Schizosaccharomyces pombe: one gene and its partner. Changing the gene in region 2 together with the main gene of any one other region gives a genetic interaction. Each region holds a gene or a part of one and is shown on either strand. Other genes may lie near its edges.

Evidence for each region.
Region 1: of cdm1 (region 2) and cdc1, extra expression of one rescues a mutant of the other (dosage rescue), as found in Schizosaccharomyces pombe (2 studies listed by BioGRID).

The regions. Positions count from the first base shown.
Region 1 is NC_003424.3:4,011,979-4,017,057, reverse strand, and holds cdc1 (DNA polymerase delta small subunit Cdc1), read right to left. Parts: upstream 2,009-5,079; coding exon 868-2,008; exon of another isoform or gene 819-867; coding exon 571-818; 3' UTR 501-570; downstream 1-500. Other genes in the region: msm1 (methionine--tRNA (Met) ligase), read left to right, coding at 1-480; SPOM_SPAC27E2.14 (uncharacterized protein), read left to right, coding at 4,381-4,395, 4,447-4,536.
Region 2 is NC_003423.3:2,305,191-2,310,460, forward strand, and holds cdm1 (DNA polymerase delta subunit Cdm1), read right to left. Parts: upstream 1,184-5,270; 5' UTR 1,051-1,183; coding exon 568-1,050; 3' UTR 537-567; downstream 1-536. Other genes in the region: protein Sad1, read left to right, coding at 1-536; chaperonin-containing T-complex alpha subunit Cct1, read left to right, coding at 2,246-2,276, 2,325-2,372, 2,411-2,496, 2,741-4,246; protein kinase C (PKC)-like Pck2, read right to left, coding at 4,597-5,270. UniProt on the Schizosaccharomyces pombe protein: Appears to have a role in the stabilization of the DNA polymerase delta complex.

The DNA of each region.
Region 1 (5,079 bases), on a different chromosome or scaffold from region 2:
TCTTTAGGTGTGCTACTTTCTCGATTGCAATCGAAGAAACTGTTCATTTCCAATGAAATACAGAAGCAATGGCATAAAAAGGATGATTTTACAGAATACGAAGATATTGTACACGAACTTATAGAACTTCCTGTTGTTTGCGCGCAAAGCATAGATGGTGGGTGTGTTTACGAGGTTATTAATCTTGTTCAGTCTGTTTTAAGAAGAGTCACTAAGCTTTTTCAATTGAAAGAACCTTGGAAATTATCAGATGATTCTCAAGAAAAGATTGACACTTTAATGTTAGTAGCTCACAGCCTACGCATTAGCGGAATTCTCCTACAACCTATAATGCCAACCAAGTCGACTGAGTTATTAGACCAATTAGGAATTCCTAAAAACCAGCGCTCCCTACAGAATGCAACTAACGTTTTTGAACCTACGGAGTTCACGTTCCACAGTGGTAATAATTCTCATTTGTTTGACAAAAGAACTCAATGAGACGTGTAGATCAGATAATTATGATGACAACAGTAAGAAAAAACTTATTTATTTAATAAATACATGATTAAATATTCAAGATATTTTGCATTAAGAAGTAATTGGAGTCTCTGCTTTGACTGACATGGGGCGGAATTGAATAATTTCTACGTTGAGCGTATGCATATTTATGAGAACAAGTACACCAGTCTTACGAAATTCGGGAACGGAAACCAATTGTATTCTGTTTCCCTCATTAATGACTGTTTTGCAGCCAAATTTCGGTTGATTACCACAAAGATATAGATCAGGCATTTCCTCCATTACAAATGTATCTTTGTCGGTGAAAGGATAGCACCCTAAAATCATTAGCAAATATATCGTTTGAAAAATGTACAGATTACTTACATAAGGTATCAGGGCTGGTAGGTGTGATATGATTCCATAGTAAAGTGTTTTCCATGCATTGAAGTGAAGATTTTTTGGGATGATATTTTCGGAGATCATTAATGTTTTGGCCGCTAGTAGCCAACACAAAATGATTGCCAAGAGAAAGCCAAGTGGGATTCGTAACTGTTTGTAAAGAAGATCCCAACCAAACTTTTGATTTAGTAAGTAAAGCGGGATGCAAAGGCTGTTGAGGAAGGATAGTTGAACTGTAATCATAAGGACCAGGCATTAAAGTGACATCTATGCTGGAACACACTTGATCAAGAAAATTATCTAGTTGGAAGGTGGGATTTGGATTGTAAGCAGACGTGTCATAGCCATATCTTTTTACTTTTTTCTTGCCAATGGGCACGGACGCAGAAGCGGAGTCGGCAATTTCTATAGAAGGTGCTAAGCAATTTCCGAGAATAATTAGCCTTTTGATGGAGGAAGGGGAAAAGGAAGAGACATGTGGAAGTGTTCCTCTTAGGAAATCTACAAGCTGATGAACTTGAATGCCTTCTATGCCGTCATTTGAGAGACCTAAGCCACTGACTGCCGCAATGTACTCTGGTTGAGCTTGCGATTCATCTGTAGTCATTGGAATGGAATGAGAGAAGATGCCTGGAAAACAAACGTCAACGACAACGAAACGACCTTGTTCATCTTCATGGCCCAAAACTGCAAGAACAACTCCTGTAACAACGCCAGCGTCATACAAAAAGCTTCCGCTACAATCTATACGGCCATAGTCATCCTCAAGAGCATATTCTATATCACCTGAAGCAGCATCTTCTGGGCTAACATACGGAGATTCTTCAGTAGTGGTGACAATTGTATGAAGTTGTGTGACATCGTTCATAACGTTTGGCTTAAGAGCTGTAGTCATATAAGCGGTAGCGACAACCCAACAGTCTTCATCTGACTTAACATCTAAAACGCGTTCCAATCGCTGTTTATCCGGCCATTTTTTTGAAGCGGCTTCTGTGATTCTGGGTCGAAGAGCGGTAAGTCGGGCGAAATAGATGCTGGCGTACTGTTGACTATACGTTTGCTGACTTAAACTAAGCTCCAAGCGTTTAGTTTCTTCACAAGGAATTGAATGTCTGACTTCAACCATGATTATTTTGTAAATATATACAGTTAGGTAAGTTAAACACTTACCAAAGGAGTAGTCAGGATATTAAATCGAGATGCTCCACGAAAAATTTCACAACAATGGAGAGTGAAGAGTTGTCTACGATTCATGCAATTACTAAAACGAGCGAGTATTGCAAGTAAATGTGCGGAAAAAAATATATATATATATATATATATATTTATATGATTTCCCAAAAAACCTATGAACGGCCCCAAAACACCTGTTTAAAAAAAAGAGGAATAAATATAATAACGCTTTTGTTGTTTTTTCAATAAAATCAGTTCTTTAAATGTTATTGACTAATTTACACAAGCAGCATATGTAAAGAGTAAGGAACTTCAAAGGTGTGCTATGCAAGGTTAAGGGGAATCAATTTCATGGAATGGAACCAGGTTTAGAAGGTTCGAATAAGCAAAGGAGTTGGATGCAGCAGATCAACAAGTAAGAATACGTTGTATATGAGAAAGTCGTGGTTCCTAACATGACTAGCTGTTGTTACCTACAACAATAAAGTGTTTGAAGAACATCTTTTTTTAAATGTAAACAAAGAGGTAAACTTGACGAAAAGAGAAAGAAGCTCAATAAAGGTGAATGTTTACTAATTGAGGATGAACAAACATCATGTGGGTTTATTTCGTTTCATACAATTAACATTTTTCTCAACCTTGAACAATCATGATGAATCCATATATTTAGTCTATCGAGTTTTATCACACAAAAGTAAAAGAAGCAAATTCCCCAACGAAGTAAATGAACTACAAACCCTTTCCTATAGCATAAAAAGTGGGTTTTCGATTTATTTGATGATTGTAAATTAATAACATTATGTTAATTAATAGGAGGAAAGGTAGGCCAACATAGTGCCCTAGAAATGGTTAAGGTGATTTCTGTATCTTACTATATTACTTATTAAAGATGTATATCAAAACTACATTAATTTAAATTGAGGTTTTATTTTATTCCGTTGAAATCTGAATATTAAATAACGCAATGTTGATCGGTCACACTATTACCCCATATGGAAAAGTATTGTAGAAGGAAAAGCAAGAATAGCAAAACCAAATTCAAATGTTTAAAGTAAAATGAAAAACTTGCCGATTTTCTTCTTCTTCAAAGATATCAATACATCCTTTATAAAAAAGCCGCTTGTCACGAGAGGTCAATGAAGCGGTATTGCCTGTTGTCCGATATCAGAGAGCTAGCTATAAATAGACTGTGGACTGTTAACATTCAGTATCGGCTACAGCTGCGGGATATCGAACACAGGGATAATCGAGTATACTGAGATGAATCAATGTTGCACGATTTAAAAAGGTTTTAACGACTCATAAACTTGTGTACCAAAAAAAATAAGAATCTCTATGTTAGAGAATAATAATTACTTGCATAGCCAGCCAGTTGTGTTTTAGTTGTTAATATACTAAATAGAAATAACTTGGCAACTTGAATGAAATGGAAATAAAATCTTATTGTGTGTGATTAATGCAGTAAAACATAAAAAAAATGAGAAACTGTTTACGTATTAAAAGGTCATACGGTTTAAAAACGGTTGAAAGTTTGATAAATTGAAGATCGAAAATTACGATGAGATCTTTTGCTTAATGCACTTGTATAGTCAACATTTCACACAGTTACATTTTCACATTCGCCGGAATGTCGAATTGTTTAAAAAACTTTTACTTTATAGTGTCTTGCAAGAAGGACCTGCCTGCATACTGTAAAAATTTCACTTTCGCACTGCTAGAGTTTGGAACAAACGAGCCAATAACGGTTCTGCGGACAGTTGTCGGTTTCCGCTTCCCCTGAGGTTAAACTAAAGCAGTAGAGGGATTTTGTGGGATCGGAGTTTGAGAATCCATGTTTTATATAAAAATTTCAGAGTTTTGTTGCTTTTTGTTTGTGCTCATCTGCCCCGATTTTTTTCCAAACAGTAAGTAACAAATCGATGCTGCTAAAATATTGATACTCACTGGATACCTTGTAGGGAGCTTGAAGCAATAGTTGTGCAATGATTGTGAAAGTCAATTTGGCAGAATGATGGGGCCTCGTGGTTGCTTGGTTAACGAATTAATAGAAAGCAACAAATCATTCAGATAAACCGGAAGAGACATAGATGGATATGAATTGTTCTTGTTCCTATATGTGCGTGCGATACATTACCGAAATTCTCTTCACTTCCGTATTCTCTCACTGCATGTTTGCGGAAAGTCAACGGACCAAATAAAAAAGTACATCGAGCTCCTTGTTAAACATTGGGACAACCGTCTAGGCTCGATCACGGATGTTAAAGCAGTCCTCACGCTGAACTTGTTTGGATTGGTGTGTGAAATGCAAGAGACAGGAGAAAAGAAATGAGGTTACGGAGAGTAAGCAAGTCCCAGAATTCCCGAAAAGCAAATTCCAATCTAACGAGCTAGTTGTTTAAACAACCAAGTACAAGGGTCCTTGGGGTGACAAATTGTCCAAGACAACAGGGACACCAAAAGAGAAGGGAACAGCCGGACTGAAAATAAGTCAGAAAAGATAAAATGCCAGTGCTACTGAAATTGAAACATTCTGCGACATTCACGGTATGGTATGACAGAATTATTCCCAACATCCTTTTTGTAGAAGTATACTTTTCATTTCAACAATCTATTCTTTTTTAAGTTGCATTTTTGGAAGCTTATTTTACCTTAACTGGCATCTATTTAGAATACCTCGGCTATGAGATGTAGCGCAGTACCGTATTTGATCCTCGTTCTTTAGTTGTCTTTTTATTGAATTTGGTACTGTATTCGTTAGGATGCGCTGTGAGATATATTAGGTGGGAAGCGATGATTTCTGTATTCTCCTTAGAGGTTGTTTAATTGTGGATTGCATTTTTTTTTGCAATTGAAAGTGGAATTGGAATTTTGCGAGTGAGTGTAAAGAACTCCTTCTTTGCCTTTCTACATACTTTTTCCGTAAAAGTAAAAAAAAAGTAAAAGGAATGTTCTATCTAACAGCAAACATTCGCAGTCATTATTGCGTTGGGCTCAAACCAATTGATGATATTTTACGTGTATATG
Region 2 (5,270 bases):
GACCATCTGCATTCATACCACGATTTACCTCCTATTTCTTTGATTCGCTCGTTGTTAGAGGACACGAACCTAGCATAGCATTAACTCCCAACAACGCAGTTGCGATGTGTTGGAGCTTTCAAGGTTCAGAGGGACAATTAGGAATTTCCCTATCACGCCCTGTATATGTAACCAATGTCACAATAGAGCACGTTCAGCACAAGATTGCTCATGATCTTTCTAGCGCTCCCAAGGACTTTGAGTTGTGGGTTCAGGGAATGTCCAGCAAGATGTTTGTATTGTTGGGAAAGGCGAGATATTCTTTAACGGAAGACTCTATTCAAACTTTTTCGTTTGAATCCTCCAATTATATTGTCGCTGAACCGATACAGAATGTGATCTTAAAAATAAAAAGCAACTGGGGAAATCCCAATTACACATGCTTGTATCAAGTTCGAGTTCATGGGACTGTACCCAATGCAGACGAACAACCAATACCTTCTTTAGGTGAGAAAGCCGAAAGTACTGCAGAGAATACGGGTCAAGATTCATCTTAAAGACCTACAAAATGTAAGATATAAAAATAATCTAGCCTGGAATGGTTTGAAGATCATAAAAGAGCGATTCTCTTTTTCGATTTTCCTCATCTGCTTCCTCGAGCATCAATATCTTTCCCACTGTTTCTGGAGGATTTAAATTGAAGTTTTTTGCACGTTTCCAGCGTTGCATCCTTGTCATACCAAGATATGGTCCATATCTTGCCGTAGTGTCAAAGTGATGCAAAATGAACTCTACTTTGGTTATATTTTCACAATGTATTGGTTCACTAATCCTTTCAGCCATAATTTGATTCCAAGCCTCTTCTACCTCTTTTGAAAGCTCATCGTCTTCTTTAATTCTCTCATCCAAGGTTTTGGTTGTAATTGTAACATCGGGTGTAGGCGACTGTTCAGAACTCACTTTCTTCCCTATGTGGGATTGACTTGAATTACTTCGAACTACATGTGGAAACACGTCGCGAATATTAGTGTTTTGCCCTGATTTTTTCGCTTGAGTAGTGCGCTTCTTCATACTGCGTGATATAATTCTGTAACACTGCGGTACTAGAATGAAAGGTGCACTATAAATCCAATTCTTTTTCGTGTTTACTCAATTTAGAGCATTAGTTTGTTTGGCCAAAAGAAATCTCTGAAAAAGTACATTTGGTTGCAAGTGTACTTTTAATATGTATATATAACTTTAGATGACTACTATAGCGATGTTTAAAATGCGTCACGCTGACGAGAAAATAAGTATCCAGCCATCCGCTCGTTCTTTATCGTTATACATATATCAGCCTTCATATATATTATTATTCATTTAGGTCCAAGTATTTAAGTGCATTATTGATAATTATTAAAATAGAAACTTCTTGACGACCCCTATTTCGGTATTTCTAGTTCGTTGTTGGAGCAAACAAGAAGTAAACAATACTCGTTATTAGTTCAGATAGTATTGTGGAAATTTCATAATTAGATACAAGTATTTTAGCAATACGTGTTGTCTTAATCCAGCCTTGGTCATGCAATTGAATCACTTGCCAGCCTTCCTAACATATCTTTAATACGTTTCTAAAAAGGGTTTTGGTCTTTACCGATTTAAAATAGGCAATTTCGTAAATGCAAATAGATATACTTATTAACATTTTCAAAATTTAAAAAATTTATAGTTAAATAGCTTTGAGTATTGCAAAATTTGTCTTTTGTGCTTTGCTAAAACAGCGTAACTTTTTACACTGCAATTGAAGCACAAAGACAGTTGAAACTTCAATTCCCTTACAGCTTTTAGTAATTTAAGTATCTAGTTTCATTAAGTTGTCTTTTTTTAAGGGCTTTTAAACTGTTAGTTATACAGTGGTAAACAAACTGACCGGGCTTTCTCAATGATTAAACTGCACTATCATTAAATACAGTGTAGTCAACCAAATTGTTATATTTTTTAATGCAGTCGATAAATTTACATAATGCTTTCAAACGTGAAAGACATCCTTCGTAAATCAAAATTATTGAATTTGTTAATTGTCCCTATGCTGCAAATAGTGCACAGGTAGTTTGTGTTGCAGAATTTTAGTTTCCACCAAGAGGGTAACATTACGCTATATGAGGTAACACTTAGAGGGTTTGAATGCTTTTAGTACATTTCAAAGAACCTTCCTCCCTCGACGTCTGCCAAACGTGTAAACAAAGATTGTTAATCAGTTTAGAGGAGAACATCGAATCTAGCTGAAATGTTTCAAGCACCGAGAGAATCCACTCTTTGTAAGCATCCAATATTGCGCTGGATGGTAAATTATTAACATGTTGTAGTTTTGAGTGGTGAAAAAATCAGTGGAGAGGACGTACGAAACCAAAATGGTATGTTAATTTTCTTTTCATAACTTTTAACATTTTAGTTTTGGCAACGACCGCAATTGCGAATGTCGTCAAATCATCCTTGGGTCCTGTCGGGTTAGACAAAATGCTCGTTGACGATATTGGTGTATGTTAAAGACCTCGTGAAGAAAAGAAAATTTTAGACAATAATGGGGGATATTGGCCTTTAACCAATATTTATTGATTTGATACGCTAGTGTTGTAATCTTCTCGCATTTAAGGAAATCTTAATTGGCAGGGAAGAGTCAACCTTATATTGTGAATCGAATTAATAAGTATTCCTGCCATTATAGTTCATCTTTTATTATATTTTTTCTTACTTTCTTTTATTTCTATCTAACTTGTATTAGGATGTTACTGTTACAAACGATGGTGCTACCATTTTATCATTATTGGATGTTGAACATCCTGCTGGTAAAGTGCTGGTTGAATTAGCTCAACAACAAGACAAAGAAGTAGGTGATGGAACTACTAGTGTTGTCATTATTGCGGCTGAATTGTTGAGACGTGCGAATGAGCTTGTCAAAAACAAAATTCACCCCACTACTATTATAACCGGTTATCGACTTGCTATCCGTGAAGCCGTAAAATTTATGACAGATGTCTTGAGCTGCAGCGTAGATAGTTTGGGAAAAGAGAGTCTTATTAACGTTGCCAAAACCAGTATGTCTTCAAAAATTATTGGTAATGATTCAGACTTTTTTTCAACCATGGCTGTTGACGCAATGCTTTCCGTCAAAACTTCTAATTCTAAGGGTGAGACCCGTTACCCTGTTAAAGCTGTCAACATTTTGAAGGCACATGGCAAAAGTTCTCGAGAGTCCGTCCTGGTTAAAGGTTATGCTTTAAATTGTACCATTGCCAGTCAAGCTATGAAAACTCGTGTTCAGAATGCTAAAATTGCTGTTTTGGATATGGATTTGCAAAAAACTAAAATGGCGTTAGGTGTGCATGTGACGATTGATGACCCCGATCAACTTGAAAAGATCCGTGAACGAGAAGTTATGATTACGCTGGAACGCGTCAAAAAAATTCTCAATGCGGGTGCCAATGTTATTCTTACCACAAAGGGCATTGATGATCTCTGTTTGAAATCCATTATTGAAGCTGGCGCAATGGCTGTTCGTAGATGCAAAAAGGAAGATTTGAGACGTATCGCCAAGGCTTCCGGTGCTACCTTACTCAGTTCATTGTCAAATTTAGAGGGTGAAGAAACCTTTGAAAGTTCCTACTTGGGCTCGGCTGAAGAGGTTGTTCAAGAAAAATTTTCGGATGATGAATGTATTCTTGTCAAAGGAACCAAAGCTTATTCGTCTGCATCAATTGTTCTGCGAGGCCCCAATGAATACTCTTTAGATGAAATGGAGCGTTCAATGCATGATTCTTTAAGCGTCGTCAAACGCACTCTTGAGAGCGGCAAAGTCGTTCCTGGTGGCGGCGCTGTGGAAACAGCTCTGAGCATTTACTTGGAAAATTTTGCTACCTCTTTGGGCTCTCGTGAGCAACTTGCAATTGCTGAGTTTGCACAAGCTTTGTTAATTATTCCCAGAACTTTGGCCGTCAATGCCGCCAAAGACTCTACTGAACTGACAGCTAAGTTGCGTGCTTATCACGCAGCCAGTCAAAATGCTGAGGTTACAGATGTTAAGAAACGGGGATACAAAAATTATGGTCTTGATTTACTTAATGGCGTAATTCGTGATAATGTTAAGGCTGGTGTTCTTGAGCCATCCATGTCTAAGTTGAAAAGTTTGAAGAGCGCCGTTGAGGCATGCATTGCTATTTTACGTATCGATACTAGTATCAAACTTGATCCCGAAAGACAACCAGAAGACCCACATGCAGGGTTGCACTAAAGCAATTACTTAAGCATAGGTATATTTGGCGGGTTTCATTGAATGTATCCAAAAATTTTGCTCCATAGATACAAATGCGATGGATATTAACATATATTAGCACTATAGCTGTTGACCAATAAACGGTAAATTATTAAACTCAGTAAATTACTACTTTGCTAGTGCTTTCATAAACAAAAGTCTAATGCCACTGTATGGATTATTAATGTGCATGCTTATAATATCATAGATACAACCCAGGTAGTAAAGAAATCCAAAAATGTTTAGTTTAAAAAGTCGAAATTAGAATAATTTATCAATGCAATGAAAGATTAAGAAAATGAGAGTAACTTTATGCTCAATTTAAGGTGCTAAGCATTATCGGTAGTCGAGGGTTTATCATCCTCGCATGAATAAGAAAAACCTTCAAAATGTTGCTGCATCTCTTTCGTCAGAATAGAATTAACAGGAGTAAGAACTGGGAGTTCTCGGGTAAATTCCTCATCGAAATACTTGGTGTCCGTAGGTGAATTCAAACTTGGAATGTACGGTGGTTGAGTTCGCTTATGATAGATGTCATCCCAATTAATGTTACTAAAAAATGGATGAGTCATGACATCTTCTGCATCGTTAGGGCCAGATCCAAGTCGTTTTTTAGGATCGCGAGTCAAAAGTTGTTGTAATATAGAAACGGAATCCCTTGGCATATGAATAGGATACAAAGGTTCATCAGATAAAATTGCATCAAAAATTTCTTCTTCGTCTTCTCCTCTAAATGGAGATTGACCAAGCAGCATTTGGTAAATTAGTACACCAAAAGCCCACCAGTCAACGCTTCTCGTATATTGCTGTTCTAATAAGATTTCCGGTGCCATAAATTCAGGAGTACCGCAAAACGTGGCAGTAGTGTTATCATGCCACATGTCTTCCTTACACAAACCATAATCGGCCACTTTAACATGACCATCTGGGCTTAAAAGGATATTATCAAGCTTAAGATCACGGTATATGATACCGTTATCATGAAAGTATTTTAGAGCAAGAC